Linked DNA regions of Daphnia pulex. Each later gene encodes a partner of the first gene's protein in a complex. Links are inferred from orthologs where the notes say so. Each region holds a gene or a part of one and is shown on either strand. Other genes may lie near its edges.

Evidence for each region.
Region 2: transcriptional adapter 3-B-like (region 1) and transcriptional adapter 1-like share a complex: the UniProt entries of both Homo sapiens proteins name them as parts of the STAGA transcription coactivator-HAT complex. The link is inferred for Daphnia pulex from reciprocal best matches to the Homo sapiens genes TADA3 and TADA1.

Annotation. Positions count from the first base shown.
Region 1 is NC_060019.1:11,487,439-11,491,469, forward strand, and holds transcriptional adapter 3-B-like, read right to left. Parts: upstream 2,749-4,031; 5' UTR 2,597-2,748; coding exon 2,416-2,596; intron 2,341-2,415; coding exon 2,204-2,340; intron 2,131-2,203; coding exon 1,999-2,130; intron 1,936-1,998; coding exon 1,792-1,935; intron 1,715-1,791; coding exon 1,500-1,714; intron 1,435-1,499; coding exon 1,310-1,434; intron 1,244-1,309; coding exon 1,113-1,243; intron 1,056-1,112; coding exon 897-1,055; intron 827-896; coding exon 683-826; 3' UTR 593-682; downstream 1-592. Other genes in the region: protein OPI10 homolog, read left to right, coding at 61-503. UniProt on the Homo sapiens protein: Functions as a component of the PCAF complex. The PCAF complex is capable of efficiently acetylating histones in a nucleosomal context. The PCAF complex could be considered as the human version of the yeast SAGA complex.
Region 2 is NC_060023.1:11,640,497-11,644,014, forward strand, and holds transcriptional adapter 1-like, read left to right. Parts: upstream 1-1,328; 5' UTR 1,329-1,420; coding exon 1,421-1,488; intron 1,489-1,547; coding exon 1,548-1,584; intron 1,585-1,643; coding exon 1,644-1,931; intron 1,932-1,998; coding exon 1,999-2,357; intron 2,358-2,427; coding exon 2,428-2,593; intron 2,594-2,659; coding exon 2,660-2,743; 3' UTR 2,744-2,910; downstream 2,911-3,518. Other genes in the region: large proline-rich protein BAG6-like, read right to left, coding at 1-12, 72-300, 363-515, 585-702, 772-840; WD repeat-containing protein 5, read right to left, coding at 2,978-3,078, 3,173-3,260, 3,320-3,400, 3,471-3,518. UniProt on the Homo sapiens protein: Probably involved in transcriptional regulation.

The DNA.
Region 1 (4,031 bases):
AAATTTTTGCATACTCCGGAAGATAGATTTTAAAATACCACAAAATAATTTTTTTAATAGTGTACTTCAGGTGGCCCGAGCCAGATCTATCAGCCCCACCAGTGTGGCAACTACTAGGTAACCTCACCAATAACAAACCGTCAAGCATTTACAAAATCACTGGCTTGAAGAAGAATCCGGGAAGTTATAGCCCTAGTATGTTTGGGGTGCACCAGGGGGAAATACATCATCATGCTCAAATAGGGATTTCAATTGAGCCTCTTAGCCTCATTTCCAATCAATCTCCTAGTGCCATTACAGAGCCTAGTAGCACCACAACATTCCAGGAGTTTGCTGAACGTACTCTTCAAAATCTTTTCAATTATGCAGCAAGTTTTGCTGTTACTCAATCACAAATGACACCAAATCCATCAGAAAGTTTCATCCCAATGTCTGTTTTAAGAAACTGGTACACTAACTTTATTAGAAAACTAGAATTGAATCCTCAGTTTTGGAGAAGTTGAAAGAATTCTTATTAAATTCTTATCAACTTCAAGTAACCTCAACTTTTCATTGTTGAATACATGCTAATTGATTTAAGTAATAAACAAGGCTTGTTAAAAGTTTATATTGTTATGCAAAGTTCAATTAACCATCTTAGTTCATCTTCATCACACACGTCTTGTATTGTTTGAAAAAATATTTACATACTAGTCGTTCCCGTGTCCAGCTGTTTGACAATCGCTTCACGATCACGAAGTATTTTCCACATCTGATCTTTTTCTTTTTTGCTTAACGGGCGTTTTTTTTGTTTAGCGGCAGCCATTTTACGATATACGTCTAATACCTATTCAAAAGAAGTTGGGAATAATGTAGACGAGCTCGATAAGCAGAGATGACACTTGAAAAATGAATACCTCAGCGTCCGCTGCAATCAATTTTTTCCGTATTTCCTGACGTTTCATTTCTTCTTGACTGAGGCGGTACAGTCGTTTCAGTTGTTTCAAGTTGTGCAGTGATATGGCCCTCAATTCTCCTTGGCATCGACGTAACTCCGTCAATATTTCATCATCGGCCTTAATCAGGGGGTTAATAATACTACCTCTGAAATGTGTTTTGAATGAATAAATTACCGAATTAACGTTGGCTTCTTCGGAAGTTAAAATGCCTTGTTCTTCTAACTCTTGACGAATACGACGTTCAAGTGCAGCAGCTTGAGGTCCATTCATTGCTGCCTTCGTGCCAGTAGATTTCGCGTTTTCGTCTGTTACAGTAATTTCGAACCGCTAGTTGGCATTAGTTTTAAACAGGAAAACAATGAACAATATACCTTGCCCTTCTGATTCCATTGTGTCCTGCACAGAAGTTACAATATTTTCTTCTAAAAGAGCTGAAATGAGACGCTGGGTCATGGGTCCGCACATCCCCGTCGCAGATGTAGTATTTGTTTCAGCACTGAGTTATTAAATCTATCGTTAAGCAATATGCGGCTATTAGAAAAAAAAATATTAATTTTTTACTTGTTTTTAGCTGCTGTGTCCATTAATCTTTGAGCCTCTTCCGTTCCTACAGAAGATCCAGAGGTAATCTTCTTTTTCTCGCCGAAACGAGAGCCCTCTCTTTGCTCCTGAAGTAAATCATCTTCTGCCCACCGAAGTGTATAGTGGCGACCGAGAGGAGGAATTTTGAGGTATTCTTCATCCTCATTATGAGTTGAGATTAGTTCTTCTACTAGCTTTAGTTAAAACATCAATTACCACAAGAAAAAAAATTTAATTCCAAGTTATGTTAATCTTATACAAATCATTTTACCTTTAAATCATCATCTGTAAAAAGAGCACAGTATGGTTCTACAGAAGCCCAAAATTTGTTTGGTGTATCATTTTTGGCAGTTGATGTCTTCATTAATTCTAAAGGAGGCATTTCCTCAACAACTCCTTCTGGTGGGATAGGCTTCTATAAAATCAAAGAGATCATTACTTGACTGTAAATAAAACTACTTTTCATGAAACTAGGTACAGCTAGAGCAGATTTAATTTTCATCTGCTTTAAAAGTGGAGGTGTGTGTGCATCTCTAAGCTTTCCTGGTTGATCTTTGAACTTTTTAGGTGAACGCTCTTCTTGTTTTGATCGTTTTCCAGGAGATGGAGGCTAAAAAAAAACACATAGTGTTGTTGGCAAACAGAAAATAGACACAAGATGAAAAAAAAACTTTGATGAATACCTTTTCAGTCATTCCTGCAATTTCTCTCTGTAAATTTAAGGAACGCAAAACAACACAATTGAGTAGTGTTTCTAGTTCCATTTGTAAGGTGTCCAAATCATCCATCATAACACCCCCTTCTTCTGATCTAGCCGTAACTATAAACAATTGATTATATTTATATCTTTGTTAATTAGAAAACCAACAGAAAAACAAAAAAAATTAGTTCTTACTGGATGTGAAACGAGGTAAAACCTTTCCATAGTCGACAGCTCGGACATCAGCTAGAGTAACTTCTTCATCTGAGTCCTCAGGTTCTGAAACTCTTTCCCTTTTGACTTTAGTGGCTGACGTTGAACCTTTGACATTTGTAGCTCCTTTTCCTTTGGAGATATTACCTTTACCCGGAACCATTTTTCGGCCCAAATTTTAAATTTGACAAGACAATTCACGTACGAATGTACGATTTACGTTGTTTACTTGTCAAAAAAGCTTGGACTAGAATCGATACCTAACTTTCAAACTTTCGATTCGATATTTCGATTTACAACGTAAGAGAGAAAATGAGACTGGGTATTCGTCAAACGATAGCAGCGCCTCCTTGAATGGTTTAATGAAAACTTTGGATAACTTAAACCGTTTAAGTCGAAAGAGAAAAGACAATCAAAGTCTAATATATTTTTTTAAATTACTTGTTAAAAATATTTGAACGCAGTTTTCGAAATAATAAAATCAGGGAAATTGCAACTCAAAGTTTTAGACTTGATTTTCAAATTTTTCAAATTTTCATGTATTTCTTTAATGAATGCAGAATGCTTAATATAAATTTGTATGATATTTTATCGATTTCATTTAACTACAAATTCCATAGGCCAATGTATTTATTTAATTTAGTTGGTGTTTCACTATATTATTATGTGGCCGTTATGTCTGAAACAGCGCTAGTTTCAGGGCTGTAAAATTCCCTCGTCTGCGGGTCTCCAGTCTTCTTTTCTCTGGTGTTTTCAGTTTATTCCAATATGGCTACCGAGTGAAAAGGCAACGAGTTTTTGTGACACTAACATTATCTACGTTTCATGACAGTTTATTGTCTGTTTGAAATTAAAGTTTGAATCTGCGGCCTATCAGAGAGGAATTCCAGACCGAACTTCGTGAAGTGCAATTTATTTTTTCTACAAATAGCTGTGGAAACCTTGTTTTTCTTCATATTGTGATATGTGTGGGCTACACCATCTGTGTCACTTGCTTTGAAGAACCCAAAGGGGGGTCGAGTGCGTGTGGGGACATCCTTCGTTTTCAATAATTATTGAAGAATCCTGAGTTTCCTTGAAACAGCCATTTTTCAGTGACATTTTAGACACAATTTTCCAGTTCGCTCCTACTGCTTTGTGTGTACTGCAGCTATCCGTTCATTTCAAGGTAAGGAGACCGCTGTGTTGCACAATCATAAAAGTTCTGGATGGTGAAACATGACACCTTCATAATCAAAGCATGTTCTCAAAATTCCTCTCTTCGTTTCATAATTAGCACAGGTTTTTTTATACCATCCTGCCTAGTAAACCTTGAGTAATCTTGTGTGACATGCAGCAGTCTGACCCTAATTTATCCAAACAGTAGCATTCGTATGAGAGGCAGATATCAGGTGGTAAAATTTGATAGTGAGTTCATTTGGAAGTGAATTGTTTCTTTTTGCGACGATTGCAAATGGGTGGGGGGTTGCACAGCTGTACATGCGTTGGCGGGGTTGAAATAGGGCATGGGGGAATCTGTAGCTCAGGTATTGATCACGTCAGGAGGGAGGAAAAAGAGGAAGGGAAGGAGGAGTGGGGGTTGAATCCGACGACGGCAC
Region 2 (3,518 bases), on another chromosome or scaffold:
ATATTGTTTGCCCTGATAAAAAGAAACGTAACTAACATTTTTAGTTTTTTAGTTTGGAGGTTTGTCATTACCCCAAGGATTGAACAGTTGAAAATGCAGCAGCTATAGCAGTGGCAGCCTGTGCTTGAACCATTTGTATGGATGAGTAGGGTCCCTCAGCAGTATTATCCATTGTAAAGAGTGAACCAGTGCTGGGAACTGAACTGATCCTTCCCAAACTCTGTGAGGCATCCTCCAGCATGTGTCTGGCTGTATTCAAACGCAACAGAGAACTACTTCCGGCTGGAGCTGGTACTGAACCTTCATTTGATCGTAAACATTGTTATTGAGATTTCTACTTTTAATAATGATGAGAAATTTACCAAATGAATGATTGGCACCATTTTGAAACCCTCTGTCTAGGTGGTAGTGAATGTTTCCTGGTCTAGATCCTTGAGTTCTTGGTGGTCCTGAAGGAGGATTACCAACTGTTGGAGGTGCTCTCTGGACCAAGTGAATGACTTTTCCACTCAGGTCTGTAAAACACAAAAACATTTACATGCCAATCATTTGTTTTGAGCTAGGAAAGAGTATTTTCAATTTACCATATTCACTGAGCTTTTTGTCATCTTGAAGAACTCTGCCACAGTAAATCAAACGCTGAGTCTCTGCTGGTGTTCCTACATCCCCAGCAATGTGTTCTTTAAGTTCCTTGACTGTGAGCTGCAAAACAGAAATCCAGTTAGTTTCCCCTATCTAAAACTCACGAGTCGTTTCTTTTAATGGTCTTACCTCCTCTGAAACTGTGAATTTATGATTACGCGAATCGAGGGTTTTGACGGTAACTTCAATATTTGCCATTTTTGTTTAGCTTTCACCACCTCGAGTTCCAACCTCGCTGTAGTTTGGTGACGATACAGACACACTAATAATAATTATTCGGTTTCAGTATTTTTTATTTTACCGATCTAACCGGACGGCTCTGAACCGACGTCAGTTGTGTAATGGGTGTCGAAATGTAAATCTCTAACGTGGAAAACTGGAAATCGGGCCTGTAATAATACACGATAACAAATAGAGGCGCAACTGTCTCCACATCGAATCGACACGACACGACACAGCCGACAATTCATAGGCTTACGAACCAAGTTGTGTTACAACGCCACCTATTTCTCTTGGTTTTAAACCGTAAAAGAGGAATTCACTTCAATTTCATGATAATTTGTACATTTTACGAACAAGATTTTATCTAATTTTACACGTTATATTTATCAATGACAAATTCAAGGAAAAAATTATTTTATGAAAATCAATTCCTGGAATGAGCACCATCTTTTGGTGGTTTTCGATAGTCGAGGCAAGACAGGTGTAGACGAAATCCAATGGCGAGTTAAATCTAAAAAAGTGAGCGAAGCAGTTCAAAAGTCAGAACACAACAACAATGAATGCACTTGATGTTAACGAAGCCAGGAAACGGTTGGTGGATGTTTTGGGAGATTCTTCTAAGAAGTAAATAAATCAGATTTGATATTTGTGGTGGTATATCTCTAATATCATGTTTTATTTAGTTATTTTGCCCACCTGAAATCGTGGTTTTGTATGAGGGTAAGAAATGTTTCTTTTATACTATCCATTCAGTCATAACTGACATTCTCTCTATTTAGACAAGCAAAGAAGAGTTTGATCGCCAAGCCAGATTGTACCTGAAAGTAGACCAAGTTCATCTTCACAATGAGTTTCTTTTGGCCATTGTTACAAAATGTCAAAGCTTGTGCCAGCCTTCAACCTATGTCTATCATGGTGTGAAGCAAAAGCCAATTGTTGTCACTGAAGTGAACAAAATCAGACCACATACCATTCCTCTACAGAAACGTAATTCTGTTGAAATCAAACCGATCACTGTGACAAGACAAGTTTACCCAAAGAACAAGCCTCTCACTGTCAACTTTGATGTAATATGTCTTAATTATTGGAATTTTCATTGGAGACCTTGATTAACATAATTCTTTTCTTATCTAGAATCGATTCCAACCAGTGAATCCAGTTTCTCTGTTACCATTTTCTGCTCCTTGCACTGTAGAGAAACCACAGCTTCGTTACTGCAGCCAGGATCTAATTTTACCTGACGCTGGACTCGTTCACGGTCGAATGCTAGTAGCAGCTTGGGATGCTGGTTTGGATCATGGTTGTGAAGACAAAGCCATCAAACTGATACTGGCAGCTACCAAGCAATTTCTTAAAGAACTGATAATTGCTATCATAACAAACCGGAAAGGGTACCGCCTTCGAGAGAACAAAGTCATCTATTCGGTTGGCCAACCTACAATTAATCCGTGGCTACACAATTCATGGTCCATCCAAGACAGTACCAGTAACAGGTAAATATTTATTGTACAGTCCTATTCTTTTTCAACAACAATGTTTCTAAGTGTTCTCATTTTAAATCAGTTATCTGACCGAAATTTCGCAAGCTGCGGAACCACCTCACGTTCCTGCCATACCCCAAACATCTCAGAAAGCAGAGCGGGATTCCGCATTCTACCTAGCGTGCACTACCGAACAAGTTACCGCACTTCAACCGATTTCCGTTCTTGACGTTTTTCAAACTTTACAAGTAAGTCGATATTTAATTTCAAAACTTCAAACTAATCCTCATGTTTCTTTATTGAATAAACAATAGGTTAAAAAGGGCGTCATTCCCTGGCACACAGTGCACGCCGTCAATATGGAACGCATTTCACAGCGCCTCTATCACCCCAATTAAACTCGAATCTACTTGCTTAAAGAAATTATAACGATTAAAAAAAAAGATGTTTGTATTGTCGACGAGGAGGCCATGAGAAGTCAAGAATGCCAGGAAACTTTTTTATACCAAGAAATTGCATTTTTTTTTCCTCAAAATTCTCCTATAAAGTACACACCTCAAAACTGCTTTTCATCGTCTTTTTTCCCATTATTTTTTGTTGTTGGTTCATTGCGACAAAGCTAAATGCGCGGTCTACGTGTCGGAACGCCAGAGCTTGATAGTCTTATCGTTCTCCAATGCAGCAGATGCGATGATATTATCGGTCGGATGGCATGCAGTACACAGCACGACATCTAGAATGAAACATGAAGGGATATAAGTTCGCGTGTGACGTCTAGACAAATTAAATGTGAAAGAAGGAGCAGGTCCCCCGGTAGGAAGCCTTACCGGTGTGTCCTTGAAGTTTCTGAACAATTTCCTTCGTTTGCAAGTTCCAAATATAAACCATGTTGTCTTCAGAGCCGGAAACGATCCACTGCAGAAAGAAAAACATGTTCAAGTAAAAGAATGAAACGTGGATTGTTAAAGCAGTACTTTTCCTCCAGTAACCGAAAAATTGGCAAAGATGCAATATTTCTCGTTTTTGTGGCCGGTGTAGGTTTTCAAGCATTTGCCCTGAAACGAGCCAAAGAAAAAAGAATGGTAAAATCTGCAAAAATCTTTAGAGTTGAATTCATGATGACACCTTGGAATAGTCCCACAACTTCAGTGTGTTGTCGAGAGTTGCAGCCAG